Linked DNA regions of Anolis sagrei. The protein of the gene in region 2 purifies or fractionates together with the protein of the main gene of each other region. This does not show direct contact. Links are inferred from orthologs where the notes say so. Each region holds a gene or a part of one and is shown on either strand. Other genes may lie near its edges. The genes, in order: FBXW11 and LPIN2.

Region 1 (11,966 bases), on a different chromosome or scaffold from region 2:
TAGATTTGGGGACCAAAATTATCAATTTTGATATGACCACGGAGAAGTTGAGGACTGCTGCTGCCATTTCCCCATCCTTTACTGGAAAGAGAAATAGGGTTGTGACCCTCAGGTGGTTGCTTATATTGCCAAAATATATTTCTCAGCAAGTAGAGGTCGTCGGCACATTGACTTTGGAACTGCCTTATGAGGAGTTTTACAAATTTCATAGCAGAGCTCAACATAGCCTTAGAAACCTAAGCAAAATTGGGCAAAGGTAACATTTAGCTTAAATATGATGACCAATTTATTGTTTTCTCAACATCTCTGGAAAGTGAACAGATTTCTAAAAGCAAAAAGTCCTCCTCCATTTCTTTGACATCTCTTTCAAGTCTGTCTTTTAACAATGTGTTTTTTGCAATTTCCCTCTCTACCATTTTAACAAACTAGGCTTGATAATAGTAAATGTAAACTATACTTTATCAAGTGTTCAATTTAAGTATTTATAGATTGAGGTTGGAAGAACAGCTTGCCTTAAGCTACCTATTGAGCTCACTGAAAAGGCAACATCTAGGGACATTCTGTTCAGATTACAGAACCATCCTTTATGTCTCTTTAGGAAAAAAAATTGTGTAACTGACTCCTTAGCAATATTTATTGAAAACTTTTTTTAAAAAAAAAAAATCTCATGCTTATTGTGAGGCCTAGAGAAGTCCATTGGGTGTAATTGTTTCTTTCTTTCCTGATAGCTCAATAGAGAAAAATAACCAAAGGCTCAGGGACTAGAGCTGGTCCAGGGACCACTGCCTCAAGCACCACCACTTTAAAGGAAAAGTTACACACAAGCACATATTCTTACATTTACATTTCTTATCAGGACCTTGAAGTAACTTGATAAAATGGCAACATAACCATTAAATGCAACTGGTGTTTTAGCAAAGTTAATGGGAATGTGTTGCTTCTCATAAGTGGGTTTAAGCCTGTATATAATCTCCCCCCCCCCCTATTACACTGCATTAGCTCCCTGAAAAAAATTGCACATTTTTAGAGGGAAAAATCATTGTATCAGTTAAATGGTTGACAAGGTCATTACTGTTGTAGGAAATTGTTCTTTCAGCAAAATATATTACAGGAACATGACCTATTTATATTTGACTATTGTGAGAGGATTCTCTTCCTTTTACAGAACTTCTGGTTGAAAAGACTGCAGCTGGTGATTTTTTTTAGGTTCAGACCCTAAAATATAGGTCTGGAAGAGCCTGGTGGGGGCAGTGGAGTGCCATCTAGAAGGGCAATATTTCTGGAATGGGTGGGTAAAGGACAATATATTTGATCTGTTCCTCATTTTGAACTTGGAAGTATTTTTCCATGAAAACCCTGAGAAAAAGGAAAGCTGAAATCTGATCTGTCTTATCTGGAAAGTATTCTGTCAAGTAAGCTTTCTGATAAATGCAAGTATAGCTATGTAGATAACAGACAAATTCCGAAGTCCATAATCTGATACAGGTTGAATCTCTTATCTGAAATGCTTTGGACCCTATTTTGGCATATCTATCTATACATGATGAATTTTTTGGGGAGGTGGGACATAAGGCTAACCATAAATTTCTTTGAGAATCCATACATACCTTATGTACATAGCCTGGAGGCAATTTTATACACAATAGCTTTAATCATTTTGTACATGAAACAGTTGGTGCACACTGATGCATTAAAAAGCAAAGGTATCGCAATCTCAGCCATGTGGACAATTGTGGTGTTTGTTTCCAAATGGTACCAAATCCATCTGAACAAATTTTACAGATACCGGTGAAAAAACGTGCTGAGGATGTGCACTCTTTGGCTACGAAATGCAATTTGCCAAACCCTGTACATTACATTTTTAGTTTTTGATCTGCGCATAATATATAGGCAATTCCCAAGTTATGAAGAAGATAGGTTTATTCTTTTAAAGCTTTAAATAGCAGAAAGAAGGGTGAATACCCCTGTGGTGTTTGTTTTGCTGTCTGTGCCCGTTCAGAAGATTTCACTTCATTTTCTGTCCCTATGATTATTGGATTTTTAAAAATTTGGGTTGTTGTGTAAACAAGGATTGGCGATAAAGCGTCAGTGGAGACAACTTTTCCCCATGATAACAACTTTTTTAGGAGTGAATTTCCCTGAGGAATAGATTTCTCTCACTTCCTGTTCTCAGCCTATTCTTAACTATGAGTGTTTTGCAAGTCTAATGTTTGTAACTTGGGGACTGCCTGTACTACTCCTAACCAACAATGTGTTGCTGCCTAGAACTCTCTCTCCCCCTCTCCTCTTTTGTCTTTTGGTGCCTTTTGGAAAGAAACTCAATTTGGAATTCTGGACAAGGGATACTTAACCTGCATTAGCTCCCTCAGGCCTATCAAAAAGGAAGGGAAAAACAGAACTATGCCACAAGGTGTGTGTAAGGCAGCTCTTGCTCGTTTGCAGCACAAAGGAAAGGTTTGTGCTGCAAACCACTGGCCCCTTCCTGCCTGGAAACCTGCTGCCAGTCACTTTAAACAAGGGTTGGAAGAGTAGCTCCCTTGAGCAGGTGTGGCTAACAGGGCCCAAGGCCAGGCATACACTGTAGACTGAATGCAGTTTGGCACCGCTTTGACTGCCATGGCTCAGTGCAGTTGCAATCCCCCCCCCCCCAACCCAGTTTTTAAAATAATAAAGCAATTATACAAATCACACACAACTAACTTTACCACAAAACATACAATAAATCAGTTAAACAATTAACCATATATTTCTATACATGTAATCTCTATGTGCACCCACCCATGGGGCATATATTCATCTTTAATATTAATTATTCTTATATTGACCTCTTCTCCAAAATACCAGTGTATGTTGATTTGGTTTTATTCCTTTTTCTTTGACAAATATATATTCTATGAGAATTCGCCCCATATTACCTCAAAATAATTTCTCTTCATTAATCCCTTTGTACATTTTATTCCAATATATCAATTTAGTGTTTATTGCAATGTTCCACACCTCTTTGTATCAATCATCAATATTGTAAGCATAATTTTATTTCCATTTTTGGCTATAACTAATCTTAAAGCAGTAAAAAAATAGTATTAATTCTACCTTTTGCCATTTTATTCCCATGTCTCCAAAATTTAATAGATTGCAGTATTTGGAAGTTTTTGTAGATTAAGCGATCGTGTCATTAATTTCAACAAATACTTTATCCCATTTTTTATCTTTTCACACTCCCGCCACAAATGTATGTAAGTCCTAGTTTCCGTATTGGATCTCCAACAATTTTGTAGGTTGTTTCTATTCTAATGTAACATTATTGGAGTCATGTATCACATACCATCTCCAAATTGTTTATAACTGTTCTCTTTAATTCTAATGGGTATATATTTCATAATTCTTGTTTCCAATATTTAACCATTCCTCCTCTGTAATATTGATTCCTAGGTCCCATTTATTTTTTTTGTTTTGAATTGTATTGGAGCACTTTCTAACATTATTTTATAAATTTTACCTATTTGTCCTTTGGCTACTTCATCTGTACCATTCTGCTTTAACTGTATTATTAATTCTTCAAATTTTGTTAACTGTCTGCATTTCCCAGGTTGTTTGATTTAATTCTTATTTTGTGAATCCAATTGTTGAACGTTATACCAAGATATTCTACTCTGTTTAAATATTTCTGTTATATTTTCTAGAAACTTTATTTATACAATCATCTATTTATTTTATTTAGGCAATTTTATCCCACCTTTACCTACTGAAGGGTCAAAGGCGGCTAACAGCATTTGTAAAATACGCACAATACAAACATTAAAACAATACTTAGTCTTGAAATATCACAATACTCCAGCTCTTTCCATGTCCTTTGTGAGTTGTCTTAAGGTTCTCTGGATTTTTTTTTAGATCTATAACTCTAATCAGTGGTGATCGGGGGCTCCTCCACTGAGGGGTCCCCTGGTGGTGCAATGGGTTAAACCCTTGCGCTGGCAGGACTGAAGACCGACATGACGCAGGTTCAAATCCAGGGAGAGCACGGATGAGCTCCCTCTGTCAACTCCAGCCTCCCATGCGGGGACATGAGAGAAGCCTCCAATAAGGATGGCAAAACATCCGGGCGTCTCTTGGGCAACGTTCTTGCAGACGGCCAATTCTCTCACACCAGAAGCGACTTGCGGTTTCTCAAGTCGCTCCTGACACACACAAAAATCAGTGGTGATATTCCAGGACTAAGGATTTTTTTATGTCAAATGTATTTATTATTTATGATATTTCTATCCCGCCTTTCTCAGCCCGAAGGCGACTCAATCTGTGTTGTTGATCTACCAATAGGGTTCTTTTATTTCTTTGAGACATTTATTATTTTGGGCAGTTGCAGTTTCATAAGGTCTTCAGCATTCTCTGCCAAAAAGAGCCAAAGTACACCTGAGCCGTGATAGTTAAAGTGGGCTCAGACTGTATTAATTCACCAGAATGGGTGAACTGTTAAATTATCACTGCTTGCATCAGCATCTACATTCCTTGGAATACTCCAATGCAACATGACTAAAATGATCAAGGGTCTGGAGAACAAGCCCTATGAAGAGCGGCTTAAAGAGCTGGGCATGTTTAGCCTGAACAAGAGAAGGCTGAGAGGAGACATGGAGAGTAGGACACAGAATAATGGCTTCAAACTACAAGAAAGCAGATTCCATCCGAACATTAGGAAGAACTTCCTGACTGTGAGAGCTGTTCAGCAGTGGAACTCTCTGCCCTGGAGTGTGGTGGAGGCTCCTTCTTTGGAGGCTTTTAAACAGAGGCTGGATGGTCATCTGTCAGGGGTGCTTTGAATGCAATATTCCTGCTTCTTGGCAGGGGGTTGGACTGGATGGCCCATGAGGTCTCTTCCAACTTCAGGATTCTACGATTCACAGGTCAGTTAGAGACATTGCACCAATCCTTGGCAACCTTTCGGTCATACAACATACAGTTCAGTCGCCATCATGCGCTGGAACAGTGAGGAGCATGCTTTTGCCATTGAGGCCTACTTTTTGAGCAGATTTGGAGTGGCTGGCCCGCTCTCCAGATTTGGCCCCTTGTGATTTTTTTCTATGGGGTTTTTTGAAATCCCATTTATGTGAACCATCCAAGGACCCTACAAGATTTGAAGACCAACATCCAGGAAGACATTGCCAACATAATGCCTGCTATGCTGGCAAGAGTCATGACAAACACTAGGAATCGGTTTACTCAGTGTATGGAGAATGGGGGACATCACCTACCTAATTTGATCTTCAAAACTACGTAAAACAAAACTTTAGGTATGCGCCTACATTATAAAAAAAATCTAATTCATACAATGGGTTTTATTAAGTTTTGAAAAAAGGAAGTTATGCTGCCTCACCCTGTATTTGGGTTAGTTGTAATAGTCTATTCTATAGTCTCTGAGTTCCCATTGGGGTGAGAAGGGCATCATATAAATGTTGTAAATAAATAAATGGCATGTTTCTATGTGGTTGTAAACATCCATGAGTCTGTTTGACAAAGGCAACCATTTCCCAAATAAATAAAAACTAGAATATCAAGGCAGAAAATCCCACCATATCTGCTTTGAACTAGGTTATGAGAGTGCACACTGTCATATATTCCAATCAAAGCAGATAATGTGGGATATTATTCAGCTGTGTGGAAGGGCAAGTTATGCTCTGAGGTCCTTTCCACACAGCTGAATAAAACCCCACATTTTCTGCTTTGAACTGGAATATATGGCAGTGTGGACTCAGATAACCCAGTTTAAAGCAGATATGGTGGGACTTTCAACCTTGATATGTTGGGATTTTCTGCCTTGATATTCAAGGTTGTATGGCTGTGTGGAAGGGCCTTATATAGTATTATTCATTAAACCAGTGGGTCTCAACCTGTGGGTCCCCAGATGTTTTGGCCTTCAACTCCCAGAAATCCTAAAAGCTGGTAAACTGGCTGGGATTTCTGAGGCCAAAACACCTGGGGACCCACAGGTTGAATACCACTGCTTTATATGGTGTCTGTAGTAGTCTCCCAGAGTGTGTTGAGAGCATTAAAAGGACCAGGGTTACCTGAGGGCCCTTCCACAGGCAGAAAATCCCAACATATCTGCTTTGAACAGGGTTATCTGAGTCCACACTGCCATATATTCCAGGTCAATGTTGGATTGCATACCGATGTGTGGAAGGGACCATATATATATGGCCCCTTCCACACATCTTTCTCTCTCTCTATATATATATATGGTCCTCTCTGTCTCTCTCTCTCTCTCTATATATATATGCCCCCTTCCACACATCTCTCTATATATATGGTCCCCCCTCTATATATATATATATGGTCCCTTCCACTCATCTGTGTGTGTGTATATATATATATATATATGGCCCCTTCCACACATCTATATATATATGGTCCTCTCTCTCTCTCTCTATATATATATATATAGTCCCTTCCACACATCTGTGTGTGTATATATGTATATATATGGCCCCTTCCATACATCTCTATATATATATATGGTCCTCTCTCTCTATATATATATATATATATGCCCCCTTCCACACATCTCTCTATATATATGGTCCCCCCTCTCTTATATATATATATATGGTCCTTTCCACTCATCTGTGTGTGTGTATATATGTATATATATGGCCCCTTCCACACATCTATATATATATGGTCCTCTCTCTCTATATATATATATATATGGTCCCTTCCACACATCTGTGTATATACATATATAAGGCCCCTTCCACACATCTATATATATATATATGATCCTCTCTCTCTCCATATATATATATGGTCCCTTCCACACATCTGTTTGTGTGTGTATATATATATATATATGGCCCCTTCCACACACACACATTTATATATGGCTCCTTCCACACATATGTATGTGTGTATATATATGGTCCCTTCCACACGTGTATGCAATCCACATTGACCTGGAATATATGGCAGTGAGGACTCAAGATAACCCTGTTCCATGCAAATATGTTGGGATTTTTCTGCTTTGATATTCAAGGTTTTATGGCTGCGTTGAAATATCCGATTTCCCATTGTTTTCTGCCTGTGTTGCGTTCCTGTGGCGAAAACGCCAACTCCCGCTCCTCTTCCCTCACCGGGACAACGGGCCTCTTCCTCCTCCTCCGAGGCCAGGCGGCGGAGAGGCCCGCTTTGCAGCAACGGCCGCTTCCTCCTTCCAGCAAGTTCCACCGCAAATGGCGCGGAGTGAGCGGGCGGGCAGCCCAAAAGCAGCCCTTGGCATGCTGGGAAATGCAGTCCTCTCGCCACCGTTGCTAGGAAACGCGCAGAGCCCGCCTTGACAGGGAAGGGAGAGAGGGAGGGAGGCAGGAAGGGCTGCCGCTCCGCTGCGGCGCTGAGAGAAAGGAGGCGACGACACTGCTGCAACCGCCACCACGCCCGGGCTACTACATCACTTCCGCTTCCGGGCGCGCGGCCGAGGCGGAGGAGGCGGCGGCGGCGGGTCAGTCAGTGGCGCTAGCGGCGGCCTCTTCCCTCCCTCCCTCCCCCTGCTTCTTTGGAGTGAAGGAAGCCCGGGGTCACTACGGGGGTCCTTCCCTCCCCACCGGCCCGCCGCGGAGGAGCCGCTCCCACCGACGCCGCCGACGCCATGGAGCCGGAGTCGGTGATTGAGGACAAGACCATCGAGCTGATGGTGAGTGAGGAAAAAGGAGGAGGAGGGAGGGAGTGGGGGAGGGGAGGCGGCCGCGGAAAGATTGGAAGGAAGGAAGCAGGCAGGCAAGCCGGTGCGGCAGGCCTCGGTTTGGGCCTCGCCGCTCTCCGTAGCCCCCGCCATTATGAAGGAGGGGGAGGGGTCTCGCGCTGGAGGGAGGGAGCGCGCGCCCCCCTCCCCCTTCTCCATTTTGGTCGGAAGGCGATTCTTAAAGGGGCCGCCTCGAAACAGGCTCCTCTTTTCTCCCGAGGAGGAAGAAGAGTTTGGCCTCTTTCTCAGACAAAGGCCCCTTCCACACAGCTGAATAAAATCCCACCTTGAACTGGGGCCCTTTCTATAAATCTGAATAAAATCCCACCTTGAACTGAGGTCCCTTCTACACAGCTGAATAAAATCCCACCTTGAACTGGGGCCCTTTCTATAAATCTGAATAAAATCCCACCATGAACTGAGGTCCTTTCTACACAGCTGAATAAAGTCCCACCTTGAACTGGGGCCCCTTTCTATAAATCTGAATAAAATCCCACCTTGAACTGAGGTCCCTTCTACACAGCTGAATAAAGTCCCACCTTGAACTGGGGCCCTTTCTATAAATCTGAATAAAATCCCACCTTGAACTGGGGCCCTTTCTATAAATCTGAATAAAATCCCACCTTGAACTGAGGTCCCTTCTACACAGCTGAATAAAATCCCACCTTGAACTGGGGCCCTTTCTACACAGCTGAATAAAGTCCCACCTTGAACTGGGGCCCCTTCCACACAGCTGAATAAAATCCCATCTTGAACTGGGGCCCTTTCTATACATCTGAATAAAATCCCACCTTGAACTGAGGTCCCTTCTACACAGCTGAATAAAGTCCCACCTTGAACTGGGGCCCCTTCCACACAGCTGAATAAAATCCCACCTTGAACTGGGGCCCCTTCCATACAGCTGAATAAAATCCCACCTTGAACTGGGGCCCAAGCTACACAGCTGAATAAAATCTCACCTTGAACTGGGGCCCATCTGAATAAAACCCCATCTTGAACTGGGGCACCTTTCACACAGCTGAATAAAATCCCACCTTGAACTGGGGCCCATCCTACACAGCTGAATAAAATCTCACCTTGAACTGGGGCCCCCTTCCACACAGCTGAATAAAATCCCGCCTTGAACTGGGGCGCCTTCTACACAGCTGAATAAAATCCCACCTTGAACTGGGGCCCCTTCCATACAGCTGAATGAAATCCCACCTTGAACTGGGGCCCCCTTCCACACAGCTGAATAAAATCCCACCTTGAACTGAGGTCCCTTCCACACAGCTGAATAAAATCCCACATTATCTGCTTTGGACTCGGATATATGGCAGTGTGGACGCTGGTATTCCACTTCAAAGAAGATAATGTGAGTTATTCTATCTTGATATTCTGTGTTGAAGGGCTGTGGATTACATGGCAGTGTGGATTTAGAGTCCTTCCAGACAGGCCCTAAATCACAGGATCTGATCCTAGGATCTGTGCTTATTCCAGATTATCTGGCAGTGTGGACTCATATAATCCATTTTAAAGCAAGAAACCTGGGATCAGATCCTGGGATATAGGGCCTGTCTGAAAGGGCCCTCAGATAACCCAGGGTCCTTACACACAGACCTATATCCCCGAATATCAAGGCAGAATATCCCACATTATCTGAATATGGACTCAGATAACCCAGTTCAAAGCAGATATTGTGGGATTTTCTGCCTTGATATTCTGGGTTATATGGCTGTGTGGGCCCTCAGACAAAAGAGAAAGCTCCCTGCGGCCCCCTCCTTCCATCTCACTGCCTTCCCTACATCCCCAAGGACTGAAGGTGACATCCACCTGGACTTGCCTGAGAAAGGATGCTCAGCACACAAAGCCCCAGTGTCCCCCAAAGAAGGGGGTGGGGCTTCTTTGAGCTCCTTTCCATATCCGGACCTTTGTCATCTTCCCAGCTTGGCCCAGTCTGTGAGTGCTTCTCAGGATGGAACTAAGGCCTCTTCCACACAGCTGAATAAAATCCCACATTATTTGCTCTGAACTGGAATAATAATAATGATAATAATAACAATAATTTATTTATATTCTGCCCTATATCCCCTGGGGGACTCAGGCAGATTCCAATACACAAAAAGGCAAACAGTCAATGCCTCAATAAAAGTAAATACGAATATAAAAACCCAAGATAACCCCAAGGGCAACTTAAGCATGTAATTTAAATAAAACATCAATTGAAAGTTATAACAGAACTTGAACATTAAAAAAATCTGAATTACTATATCAAAACAACACGAAGGTTCACAAATGTGTGGATAGATTGGATGGCCAAAGTTGTTAAGTGGGCTAATGTGATCTAACAAGGCCCAAGTACATTTATACTATCCAATAAACAGTCTGGCAATATATGGCAGTGTGGACTCAGATAACCCAATTCAAAGCAGATATTGTGGGATTTTCTGCCTTGATCTTCTGTGTTATATTGCTATGTGGAAGGGCCCCCAGACAAGCTCAGGATCTAATTCCAGGTTCTGCATTAAACTGGATTTTATGAGTCCCCACTGCCACATAATCTGGAATAAACAGACAACCTGGAATCAGATCCTGGAATATAGAACCTGTTTGGAAGGACCCTTAGCTGCCTAGGCAAGTGTTTGGGTTCCTCTCTCCCCTTTTGGATGGGTTGAATGATCTTTGAGAGCCTGTGTACCCTGCTTTCTCTCTCAGGGTCCTTCTACACAGCCATATAATGCAGAATTTCAAGGCAGAAAATCCCACAATATCTGCATTGGATTGGGTTATCTGAGTCCACTTCCATATATTCCAGTTCAAAGCAGATAATGTGGGATTTTATTCAACTGTGTGGAAGGGACCTCATAAAGGAGCCTCCCAATATGCAATGTATACCTTCTCCTACATTGCATGAGAATCCTCCTTGCCCCAGGCAGTCTTTCCCAAACCCAGCGTTTCCTCCTGTCGATTTCCTAACCGCAAGGGACCATTGTTCTGAAGAACAAACTGCCTCCTGCTTCTTGGCTGAAAGTCGCAAGACGCCCACGCACCCAGAAAGCATTGATTAACGTGGAAAACATATTATTTCTTTTATTGGATCAATATCCCACCTTTTGTTCAGATTGTGGCCCTTTCCACACAGCTGTATAAAATCTACATTGAACTGGATTATATGGCAGTTTGGACTCACATAATCCAGTTCAAAGCAGATATTGTAGATTATCAGCCTTGATATTCAGGGTTATATGGCTGTGTGTTATAGGACCCTGGGATAAGATAGGGAATGCTCTAAATACTAAGATTATTATTATTTAAAAATATTATGTATTTTATTGGATTTGCATCTTACCTTTTTCCCAGACTGGGATAAAATAGGGAACTGGCTAAATACTGAGATTAATTCTAAAAGTATTGTTTATTTTTATTGTATTTGCACTCTGCATTTCTCTTAGACTAAAGTGAAATGGGAGCTTCTCTAAGTGTGGAGATGCTGAGACTTGCGCCTCTCCTACACAGATGTATAAATTCCAGATTTTCTACTTTGAACTGGATTATCTGGCAGTGTAGACTCAGATAATCCAGTTCAAAGCAGAACATGTTAATTATCTGTCTTGGTATTCTGGATTATATGGCAGTGTGGAAGGACCCTCAGTTGGTTTAAAAAGTACTTCGGTTTTCTGTTGATAGCATCACCTCTCTATTAAAATGTAGTCTGTGGCCCCTTCCACACAGCTGCATAAAATCCATATTGAACTGGATTATATGGTCATGTGAATTCAGATAACCCAATTCAAAGCTAATATTGTGGATTATCTGCCTTGATATTCTGGGTTACATGGCTGTGTGCTGTAGTCCTTTGCCTACTTAAATATGTAGACATGTAGCTAGCTAAGGTCTTCCTTCCTTTTTTTGTTACAAAGATGTGATTTCAAATACACTAATAGCTGTAATGAGTTGGATTGGATGGCCCTTGTAGTCTCTTCCATCTCTATGCTTCTGTGTGAGAGCTGTTCTGTATAGTCCTGCAGTTACATAGAATGTGATGCTTCTATTCCTCATGTAAAAGTCCTGAGTCTGATGGAGAAAGTCTGAACTGAAATGTCAATTTTATATTTGACTTACCTGTAAATTACCTGAACAGCATTGAGAACCTGGAATTGTAGTCTTTAAATGTTGATAAACAAAATAATGCGGCAGAACTATTAAATGCATCTATTCTGATCTGTACTTTGTCTACAAAAGGGTGAAATATGCAATTTAG
Region 2 (12,190 bases):
TTCAACAGTATATTGATTAAAATAAAATTCAACTAAAAAGCAATCATCATAATCTTGTGAATGGTTTTTAAAAATAAAGGTATCTTATTAAAAACATAACTGATTAAAAACAATTTTAAAATATTTTAAAGTCACACTAAGGATAGATGTACAATTTCTCCCTATTAAAAACCCTTCTATAACAACCAGTCCACAGTCCAGTCTGTGTAAAAAGGGTATTTTCTATTTCTGCACTGGGGGGGGGGGGAGTCAGTGCAATCATAGATTTTATTTGGAAGAGACCACAATGATCATTTATTCCAGTCTCCTGTCATGGAGGGGGGGGGGCTCTGGGAAGGTACTGAACAATACAGAATCATACTGAAAAGGCTCTCCCATGGGTGCTCACAAAGTATGCCTGTCAAAGTGATAGGATAGAAAGACAGCACTGCTCTAAGGATCTTCAAGCTCGTGTAGGGAGTAACAGTCTTTCAGAAAGTCTGAACTCAATTAATAGTTATTATACAAAACTAGCACATGAAACTGCCTGAAAAAACTAGCAATCAGTGATGCTGCTGCAACAAGAGGATTTATATATTCATTGTAATTAGCCCAGATAAACACTTCAACTAGAGTATTTTGAACCAGTTGAAAGTTCCAAAGGCAGTCGCACAAAGAGTACATTACAATAATCAAAATAATAAAGCAAGAATCACCATAGCCATATCTGACATCTGCAATGAGATTTATAATTGGTGTCCTAGTTTCAAGTGTGGAAAGACATCCCTGGTCACCACTGAAATTTTGGCATCCAGGCTCAAGGAGAAATCCAGTATGTGATTTTTGAACCTGAGATTTGGGGGGGGGGGGGGGGAGTAACCTCTTCCAGGCTGCATCTCTGTTCCCCAATCTGTTTTGATGGAACAACATCACTTCTGTCTTGTCTGGATTAGGTTTCAATTTGATCACCCTCGTTGACTCAATTACTGACACTGATTTAGGATCAAAACATTTCCTTGAAACTGGATGAAAATAAGACAGAGTTTATTTATTTACAGTATTTCTATATCGCTTTTCTCACCCCTAGGGGGACTCAGAGTTGAGTGTAAACCATAATCTTATGCCATAAACCTAGTTAATCAGAACTTGAGCAACTGGAACTCTTAAACAACCAACAAAAATCAAAGGAACAATCCTTTTTATAAAATCAATTTTTAGCAGAAATATTAGAGCAAATTAAATTTGTCTTTATTTGCTTTTAATTACTGTATTGGAGCCCCCGGTAGCGCAATGAGTTAAACCCTTGTACCAGCAGGACTGCTGACTGAAAGGTCTGCAGTTCAAATCTGGGAAGAGGGGTGAGCTCCCCTCTGTCAGCTCCAGCATCTCATGTGGAGACATGAGAGAAGCCTCCCACAGGATGTTTAAACATCCGGGCGTCCCCTGGGCAACGTCCTTGAAGACGGCCAATTCTCTCACACCAGAAGCGATTTTACTGTATTTCAATATTAATATCAAGTCAATACAGAGTTTATGGTATGACATAGTATTAGCTATTTTAATATTATCTCTCAAGTAATCAGAAATTTCATTTAGCCAATTGCTACCAATCTCCTATGGGTGCCGGTTAACTAAGAGACTACTGTACTTTAAACCAAAGCGGTCCAACTAATTTTTTTATCAACGACCACATCAGCCTTACGGTTGCCTTCAAGGGGCTTTTGCATCCATGGATGGAGAATCTGTGGCTACATAGGGCCAAGTATAATATTTTTACATAGTGATCACTGTTCTTTAGCTTTTATCCTGTTTAGGTCCCCAGATATTACTGAACAACGATTCCCATCACTTTTGTCAAGTGACTGGGTAGAATGGGACAACCCAAAAGCACTTGTGGCTCTGAGGTTGTGCAAAAGATTAAAGGCCAGCCAAAGCTGTGTAATGACATTAAAACCCCAATATCCTGACTGAACACACCAAAATGCAGCATTCCAGATGTGACTGTATCACAACTCCCATCAGCTCTGGTCATGATGTCTAATGATGAGGAAAACAGGAGTTGTAGTCCAGCATCTGGAAAGCCACATAACATGAGATGGAGGGCCAGATTCTTCCTGCGGACCTTGTGTTGAGCACAGTCATGGGCAAACTTGGGCCCTCCAGGTATTTTGGACTTCAACTCCCACAATTCATAACAGCCTACCGGCTGATAGGAATTGTGGGAGTTGAACTCCAAAACACCTGGAGGTCCCAAGTTTGCCCATGACTGTGCTCAACACAAGGACTTTAAATAAACAACTGCTGCCCCAAAAATACTTGTGGGAAAAGGGAAAAACACGAAAGGAAAAGCCATGCACACATAACCCAGAATATCGAGGCAGAAAATCCCACAATATCTGCTTTGAACTGGGTTACCTGAGTAACTCAAGCCTCTGGCACTGGTTCTCAACCTGTGGGTCCCCAGATGTTTTGGCCTTCTTTTCCCAGAAATCCTAACAACTGGTAAACTGGCTGGGATTTCTGGGAGTTGTAATTAGGCCAAAACACCCAGGGACCCACAGGTTGAGAACTACTTCATGGGACCCAGTCCTGATATTATACCCTCCAAAATGTTCACAGAGGAAAACTGGGGCATAACATAAGATTGTGGACAAGATTGCAAAAGTATTGAGACTGCAGTAAGGCCGAACAGGGCATAGGGTTACAGCCCATGTTGGACGGGGTTAGACTCCCCCTTAAGACGCAGATTTGCAGCTTGGGTGTGATCTTGGACTCGTCGCTGAGCCTGGAACCCCAGGTTTCAGCAGTGACCAGGGGAGCATTCACACAGTTAAAACTTATGCACCAGCTGCACCCGTACCTTGGGAAGTCTGACTTGGCCATGGTAGTCCATGCTCTGGTTACATCCCGTATAGACCACTGCAACGCTCTCTACATGGGGTTGCCTTTGAAGACTGCTCGGAAGCTTCAAATGGTCCAGCGTTCGGCAGCCAGGTTGCTAACAGGAGTGGCACTCAGGGAGCATACTACTCCTCTGTTGCGCCAGCTTCACTGGCTGCCAGTTTGCTACCGGGTACAATTCAAAGTGCTGGCGTTAGCCTATAAAGCCCTAAACAGTTCTGGCCCCACTTACCTCTCCGAATGCATCTCCTCCTATGAACCGACTAGGACACTAAGATCATCTGGGGAGGCCCTGCTCTCTGTCCCGCCTGCATCACAGGCGCGCTTGGCGGGGACGAGAGACGGCCTTCTCAGTGGTGGCCCCTCGGCTGTGGAATGCCCTGCCTGCAGATATCAGATCGGCCCCCTCCCTGCTGGCGTTTTGGAGGAAAGTGAAGACCTGGCTGTTCGAACAAGCATTTGATTAAACAGTATAATTGAACATAGGAATACAGAATAATGGATGATGAGACTGGATTCTGATTCTACTGTTGAGGTGCTAATTATTGTTATACTGATGTTTAATTATTTATGTTACAATTGTTTTTAATTGCCCTGTACTTGTCTCGTGATGTTTTGTATCGATGTTGTTCACCGCTTTAAGTCGCCTGAGGGCTGAGAAAAGCGGTATAGAAATAAAGTAAATAAATAAATGCAGTAGTTTGCTTTTGCCTGAGCCTACTAGAAATGGCAGGATTCCACCCCTCTCCTCCCCTCCTCCTTCAGCACCGAGATAACTGAACTCAGTTTACAGCAATTGAAATAAACAAATGACAACATTTCAGAGTGGCTACAATTATTAAAGAAAAAGAGGTTATGAGCTAGGATAGGCAGGGAACATTTGTTTTTGCCTGAGCCTACTGGGAACTGCAAAATTACACTTTTCCTCTCTTCCTGAGATAATTGGTACTTTGAGATCATTTTTCAGCAACTGCAGTAAGCTGAGGACAAAGAATGAAAGTAGAAAGAGGAAAGAAACTGGGACATTTTAAAAGCAACTAAAATAGGGTAATAAGGAATTAATAATAGGTGCCCCTGCAAGATTGGGAGAGTTTGAGGGCTCTTTCTCACAGCCATATAACCCAGAAAATCAAGGCAGAAAATCCCACAATATCTGCTTTGAACTGGGTTACCTCAGTCCACGCTGCCATATATTCCAGTTCAAAGCAGAAAATGTAGGATTTTATTCAGTTGTATGGAAGGGGCCTGAGAGAACAGAATCCTGAAGCCTGTGAGAGGCAGGGGGGAGTGAGGGTCCACACACACAACCAAGCCTCCTGGCCCTCAATGGCTTCTCAACAGTCCACACAAAACCAATGAGGTGAAAAATGAAGGGTCAGTCAGTGTCCCGCTGTCGTCCCTCAGGCAGCGGCAACAGCATCCCTTTTTGTGACGCCCAGCCGGCCCGTCCCCGAGACCAGCCTCACCCGCCTCTCGAAGCCACAACTAAGGAGCCTGTGGGACCGAAATGCCATGAAGGAGAGAGCCAATTCCTCGCCTAACCTCACCTCGTCGTTCCTTGCCTCAGTCGGATGGAGCTGCAGGGGGGAGAGGAGGGCGGCCAGGAAGAGGAACAGCAAGAGGAGCAGCAGCCGGCCTCCCTCCTTCCCTCTCTTGAGGCGCCGGCTGAATGAACTGAACGGCAAGGCTAAGGCAAGGCAAGGCGGCGCGCGACGAGGGAGGGGGAAGGTGACGCACGCGAGGAGGTGCCGGCGCGCGCACGCTCGCACGCGCTCAACGGAAATTCCTCTTCCTCCTCCTCCTCCCTCCTCCCCCCTCCCTTCTTCGTCCTCCTCTTCCTTGTGTCAACGTTCAGAACCTTTGGTGGATGGCATGGCAGCGAAAGAGCGAGAAGGGGAGCGGGGGGAGGTTTAAAGAGGGAAAAGCCAAGCCCACGTGACCGTAGAGGAGGGGGAAATGGATGGATGGCTGGCTGGATGGATGGAGGCGGCGTTGTGCGCGTGCCCACCCCCTCGCGCTCTCCGCTCGCGCCCGGTGTTCCAAGCACCCCCCCCCCTCCTTCTCCCCCTCTTCCTCTTCTGTTGCAACGTGGAGCGAGCCGGGCTAATTAGTGGCTGCAGCGGCGTCACAGCGGAGCTTCTCCTTCCTCTTTTTCTTTCTCTCCCCTCCCCCCCCCCATTTATATTCTAAAGGCCCTTCCAGACAGGCCCTATATCCCAGGATCTGATCCCAGGTTTTCTATTTTAAACTGGATTATATGAGTCTACGCTGCCAGATTTATTTATTTTTGTCGTGTCAGGAGTGACTTAAGAAACTGCAAGTCGCTTCTGGTATGAGAGAATTGGTCGTCTGCAAGGACGTTGCCCAGGGGACACCCGGATGATTTTGATGTTTTCATCATCCTTGTGGGAGGCGTCTCTCATGTCCCCGCATGAGGAGCCGGATCTGATAGAGGGAGCTCATCCGCCTCTCCCCGGATTCGAACCTGCGCCCTGTCGGTCTTCAGTCCTGCCAGCACAGGGGTTTAATCCACTGCACCACCGGGGGCTCCTATGCTGCCAGGTAAACTGCAATAAACAGAAAACCAAGGCAGTGACATCTCTATCTCATCCCCTGTTTGGATATCAGCCAGCACGTCAATGACTTAAATCAAGAAATAGTTTTCTAAGATCTACAGAGACACTCGCTGGAACACCTCAGCAAGCGAGAGTCCAAAAGTGGCAGGCTCAAACCCAGAACCTCAACCAATGGCTGATACCAAATGAGAGACTGCCCCCTGGGCACACAGAAGACTGGGCAACTTGGAAGGCGCTGAACAGACTGCGCTCTGGCTCCACAAGTTGCAACCTTAAGGAATGGGGCTACAAAGTGGAATCTACCACATGCGAGTGTGGAAAAGAGCAAACCACAGACCACCTGCTGCAATGCAACCTGAGCCCTGCCACATGCACAATGGAGGACCTTCTTGCATCAACACCAGAGGCACTCCAAGTGGCCAGCTACTGGTCAAAGGACATTTAATCAACTACCAAGCTTGCAAACTTTGTGTTTTGTCTGTCTGTCTGTCTGTTTGTTTGTTTGTTTGTTTGTTTGTTAAAAATGCAATGCAACTGTTTGGTCTGCCCCTGACACGATAAATAAATAAAACAGAAAACCTGGGATTACATCCTGGGATATAGGGCCTGTCTGGAAGAGCCTAAGAAAGCTGTGTGCTTATAAGAGAAATCGCAATGTGGAGAAATCGCAATGTGTTTTTTCTGCCCAGAGTCCCCTCGGGAAGATAGGTACGGGATATAAAGTTTTATTGTTGTTGTTATTCATTCGTTCAGTTGCTTCTGACTCTTTGTGACCTCATGGACCAGCCCACGCCAGAGCTCCCTGTCAGCCATTGACAACCCCAGCTCCTTGAAGGTGAAACCAGTCACTTCAAGAAAACCATCCGTCCATCTTCCCCTTGGTTGGCCCCTCTTCCTTTTTCCTTCCATTTTCCCCAGCATCATTGTCTTCTCCAGGCTTTCCTGTCTTCTCATGATGTCTGTTTTTTTTTCTTTTTCTTTTTAATCTGTGTGTTTGTTTTGTTCTGTTAGAATTGTAACATAATGGTATGGTTGCTGATGACACGATAAATAAATGATGTGGCCAAAGTACTTCATCTTTGCCTCTACTATCTTGCTCTCCAATGAGCAGTCGGGCTTTATTTCCTGAAGTATGGTCTGCTTGGATCTTCTCGCAGTCCAAGGCACTCTCAGAACTTTCCTCCAACAGTTCAAAAGCATCTATCTTCCTTCGCTCAGCCTTCCTTATGATCCAGCTCTAACATCCGTAGGTGACTACGGGGAATATCATTGCTTATTCTATCCAGATCTTCGTTGCCAGTGTGATCACTCTACTTTTCACTATTTTATCGAGATTGGACATTGCTCTTCTCCCAAGAAGCAAGCGTCTTCTGATTTCCTGGCTGCAGCCTGCGTCTGCAGTAATCTTTGCACCTAGAATAGAGTTTATCAACAGGTGTACGTTTAAGACATTCTGTGATTATTCTGCATATTTCATCCAATGCTATGTTCACCTGCTTTGCGTGGGAGACTTATGCCAAACAGGGCAGGCATACTTACTTAGGCGATCCCTCGTTGGACGAGTAAGATGGTCTTCCATCATGGGTTTCCTTGTGGGTCCGTATGTGGCTGTGGAGCCCTATTCTTGCTCTGCATCTTCTTCCGCAGTGAGGGCATTGGTTTCCAGGTGGAAGGCGGTCCCGGTCGGGGTTGGCTTGACGCGCCTTCCTCCTGGCACATTTCGCTCTTTCACCCTCCACTCGTGCCTCCTCAAATTCTGCAGCACTGCTGGTCACAGCTGACCTCCAGCTGGAGCGCTCAAGGGCCAGGGCTTCCCAGTTCTCAGTGTCTATGCCAGAGTTTTTAAGGTTGGCTTTGAGCCCATCTTTAAATCTCTTTTCCTGCCCACCAACATTCCGTTTTCCGTTCTTGAGTTCGGAGTAGAGCAGCTGCTTTGGGCATCCAGACAACGTGGCCTGTCCAGCGTAGTTGATGTTGGAGGACCATCGCTTCAATGCTGGTGGTCTTTGCTTCTTCCAGCACACTGACGTTTGTCCGCTTGTCTTCCCAGGAGATTTGCAGGATTTTCCGGAGTTAGCGCTGATGGAATAGTTCCAGGAGCTGCATGTGACGTCTGTAGACAGTCCACGTCTCACAGGCATATAGCAGGGTTGGGAGGACAATAGCTTTATAGACAAGCACCTTGGTATCCCTACGGATGTCCCGGTCCTCAAACACTCTCTGCTTCATTCGGGAAAATGCTGCACTTGCAGAGCTCAGGCGGTGTTGTATTTCGGTGTCGATGTTGACTTTGGTGGAGAGGTGGCTGCCAAGGTAGCGGAAATGGTCGACATTTTCTAATGTTACACCATTAAGCTGTATCTCTGGCATTGGAGAGGGGACGGCTGGTGACTGCTGGAACAGCACTTTGGTTTTCTCGATGTTCAGCGACAGGCCAAGCTTTGTGTATGCTTCTGCAAAGGTGTTGAGGGTGGCTTGTAGATCTTCTTATGTATGCGCACAGACGACATTGTCATCAGCATACTGGAGTTCTATAACAGATGCTGTTGTGACCTTGGTTTTGGCTTTCAGTCTGCTGAGGTTAAACAGCTTGCCATCTGTCCGATAGATTATTTCCACTCCGGTGGGAAGCTTCCCATCAACAAGGTGAAGTATCATAGCGATGAAGATGGAGAATAAAGTTGGAGCAATAACACATCCCTGTTTGACACCCGATTCCACCTTAAATGGGTCACTTTGGGAGCCATTGCTGTCCAAGACTGTTGCCATCATGTCATTGTGGAGGAGCCGCAGGATGTTCACAAATTTGCTTGGGCACCCGATTTTTTGGAGGATGGTCCAGAGAGCGCTGCGATTCACTGTGTCGAATGCCTTTGCAAGGTCGATGAATGGCATGTACAGAGGTTGATTTTGTTCTCTGCATTTTTCTTGGAGCTGTCGTGCAGTGAAGATCATGTCCACGGTTCCTCTGGAGGGGCGGAAGCCGTTCTGGGATTCTGGGAGGGTGTCTTCTGAGAGGGGCAGAAGGCGGTTTGCAAGGATTCTTGCGAGGATTTTCCCAGCAGAGGTTAGAAGGGAGATACCTCGATAGTTTCCGCAGTCTGTTCTTTCCCCTTTTTTGAAGAGGGTGATGATGGTGGCATCCTTGAAGTCTGCTGGGATTTTCTCGGTCACCCACACTTTTTCTATGAGCTGGTGGAGTTGGTGTGTCAGCTCGGGTCCTCCCTCTTTAAAGATTTCAGCAGGGATCCCATCTGGTCCGCTGGCTTTGTTATTCTTTTGTTGGCTGATGGCATTGCTGACTTCTTCCAAGCTAGGCAGTTCTGCAAGCTCATCTCTGGTTTGTTGTTGCGGGATTTGTGAGAGGACCTCTTCGGCCACATTGGAGCTGCGGTTTAGGAGGCTTTGGTAGTGTTCTTTCCAACGTAGTGCAATTGACTTTTGGTCCTTCAGGAGTTTGGTTCCGTCTGATGAACGTAGAGGCTGTATGCCATGGTTTCTTGGTCCATAGATGACCTTTGTGGCTTTGAAAAATCCTTGAGCATTATGGGTATCTGCCAGGTGTTGGATTTCTTCAGCCTTCTTTGTCCACCAGATGTTTTTGAGTTCTCTTGTCCTTCTTTGGACCTCAGCTTTTGCATTGACGTAGATCTTTTTCTTAGCACCACAGTTGATGTCTCTCTGCCATATTTGGAAGGCTTTCCTTTTCTTGTCGATTAGCTGTTGGATCTCGATGTCATTTTCGTCAAACCAATCTTGATGTTTCTTGGCTTGGTATCCAATAGTTACTTCGCAGGCTTGGATGATGGAGGTCTTCAGTTTGTTCCAATGTTCCTCAACATTTTCGGGGTGTACTGTGGGTAGATGGTCCTTGAGTGCTGTTTGGAGATGAGCTCGTCTGGAGGGCTCCTGAAGGGCTTGGGTGTTCATTTTGCGCCTTGTTTTCCTTCCTTGGAGTCTGCACTTGGGAGCGATCTTGATAGCCATCGTGGATCGGATTAGCCTGTGATCGGTCCAGCAGTCGTCAGCACCTGTCATGGCTCTTGTGAGGAGCACGTCACGGCGGTCTCTGGCACGTGTGATTACATAGTCTAAGAGGTGCCAGTGCTTTGAAATTCTACTGTCAGCTGGACACCGTCCTATCGGGGATACCTAAGGAGGACAAAATCATTCTCCTGGGGGACTTCAATGCAAGAGTCGGGCGAGACTTCGACCTGTGGCCAGGCACCATAGGAAAAGACGGGGTTGGAAACAGCAACTCGAATGGCATCCTGCTTCTCACCAAATGTGCGGAGCACAACCTTGTCATCACCAACACGCTCTTCCGCCAGAAAAACAAGTTCAAGACATCATGGAAGCACCCCCGGGCAGGCATACTCGGTAGTTGAATAAGACAAGGCTAGGGTTGATGTTCTTATTAATTTTGGGTCTGCACCCCATGCGCTGCAAGTAAGTTTCCACAGGATGTTATTGAGTGCAGCTACTTTGTGCTTGGTGTTCAAGCAGTGTTTCCTATATGCTAGCGTTCGATCTAAGGTGACACCGAGATATTTAGGATGGAAACAATGTTCAAGTTCTTGAGCTTCTCATGTGACTTTCAATTTCCTGTTGGCTTCACGGTTGCATAGATGGAAAGCACACACTTGTGTCTTGGCAGGGTTAGGCTTCAGGTGGTTATCTTTTCAGTAGCAGGAGAGATCTTTCAAGGCATTAGTAAGTTGGATTTCAACTTTTTCAAAATCCATTAAAACATATTCAAAGATAATATCATATTGTGATCCAGAAAGGCATTGGGAAGAATGAGTCTGGATCCAACTCTAGGCATTGCCTTCCCCCTCCAACCAGCCTGCCAAATATACAGATAGATTTCCATCAAACTCACCCTGCAGGGTCACAACCAAAGCAGTTGATATCTATCCCTTGGGCCAAATCCCCTTTGCTTTTCCCTTTGGACTTTTCTTCTTCCAGAGGGATCCAATGTCTCCTCCAAACCTCAACTTTGCCTCCTTCATCTGAAAGGGAAGGACGCCCTCCTTTCCTCAAAGGAAAGCGGCAACACGACAAAATGAAAAATCATCCACCCATTGTCTGTTTCTTCATTATCCTTATTGATGGAGACAACCACGTCACTCTGGGTCCCTTGCTCCAGCCTTAACTTCCATGGAACATTCAGGTGGAAGAGACCCTACGGGCCATCCTGTTCTGCCATGAAGGAACACACTGTCAAAGCACCCCTGACAGATGGCCATCCAGACTCTGCTTCAAAACCTCCAGAGAAGAGGACACCATCATGCTTCCAGGCAGCAGGGTCCGCTGTTGAACAATAGCTCTTATTGGCAGGAAGCCCTTCCTAATGTTTAGATCAGTGGTTCTTAACCTGTGTGCTGCCAGTAGTCAGCAAGGATGAAAATCTGGTCCACGAGCCTCTTTTCTCTTTATTATTTTATTTTATTTCTGCTCCTTTTGTGTGGCCTATCACTGACCACGGCATATGTTCTTATCAGAAACTAGAACTGATATGGGTATCCAATGCAAATTTCTGAATCTGCACCCCAAGCCGAATCTAAAAACTGATTCGTAACACTTTTGGTACTAATGTTAGAGAATGGTCCCTGGTCAAGTGGTCCCTGGTCAAAAAAAGATTTGGAACCACTGGTTTAGATGGAATCTCTTCCTGCAATTTGAATCCATTGCTCCTAGTCTAGAGAAAGCAAGGCTGCCTCCTGCTCGATGTGACATCCTTCCAAATATTTGAACATGGCTCTCAGCCTTCTTTTCTCCCAAGCTAAATAATGGAAGTCATGAAGAAAATAATGGCCATATTGTTCTAATTCTTTTTACTCTTCTTTCTGAAACCAAAACAGCATTGGTCTTAAACTGGTGCAAGGAGGGTACTGCTAAATCAGGCTTGGGCAAACTTAGGCCCTCCAGGTGTTTAGGCTTCAACTCCCATAATTCCTAACAGTCTATCGGCTGTTAGGAATTGTGGGAGTTGAAGTCCAAAACACCTGGTGGGCTGAAGTTTGCCCATGCCTGTTTTAAATGTTTCTTACCAGCATTTTTACCTGAATAGCTATTTGGACTTGGTTGAGTAAATAAATATATTCCATTAAGGAAGCTGTGATGAACTTGTGAGATGCTTCCTACAGGAAGAGTAAATTAGCAGCTTAATGTGTTCTCATTCTCTCCTTCCCCCCAATGCAAAATCAGCGAGTTCCTCTTCTTTCACAAGAAAAAGAATCAAGCTCCGCATTAGACTTGTTCTGCTTTCTGGTGGAAGGCCTATGTGGGTGGCAGCTGCACCAAAATTCTTGCACACTGAATGGGAACCTTCTCATGGAACAAGAGCCTTGTCCCTCCCCTGCTGCCATTTTACAAATAGAATATGTGAACCCACCTGGGAAGTTGAATGGCAGCACATAGATGCATATGGACATTTCTACACACACTCCACCTAAGGATGTGGCTGAAGTTCATTCATGTTTGTTAAACAAATGGGATTTACTTTTCTCAATTACTTACAAGCTCTGAAATTTGACACTTGCTCAACTCGGGTATTTTGGAGAAAAATGGCAATCATAACCTTTTTGAAAAGGAAAAATGATCTTACGTCCATCTGGCAAATGTGAATCTCCATGAACATCCTGAGACTACTTTTTAAAACTAGTAGTCAAGGAAAGGCATGACCTTGTTAGAAGTCAACCCTTTGAATAAGTGATGTTCACAAGTATTCA

Evidence for each region.
Region 1: the proteins of LPIN2 (region 2) and FBXW11 purify together in Homo sapiens (affinity purification with mass spectrometry; 4 studies listed by BioGRID and IntAct, with this or other methods). This does not show direct contact. The link is inferred for Anolis sagrei from reciprocal best matches to the Homo sapiens genes LPIN2 and FBXW11.

Annotation. Positions count from the first base shown.
Region 1 is NC_090021.1:141,609,071-141,621,036, forward strand, and holds the start of FBXW11 (F-box/WD repeat-containing protein 11), read left to right. Parts: upstream 1-7,483; 5' UTR 7,484-7,633; coding exon 7,634-7,678; intron 7,679-11,966.
Region 2 is NC_090024.1:62,060,034-62,072,223, forward strand, and holds the start of LPIN2 (phosphatidate phosphatase LPIN2), read right to left. Parts: upstream 4,652-12,190; 5' UTR 4,428-4,651; intron 1-4,427. UniProt on the Homo sapiens protein: Acts as a magnesium-dependent phosphatidate phosphatase enzyme which catalyzes the conversion of phosphatidic acid to diacylglycerol during triglyceride, phosphatidylcholine and phosphatidylethanolamine biosynthesis in the endoplasmic reticulum membrane.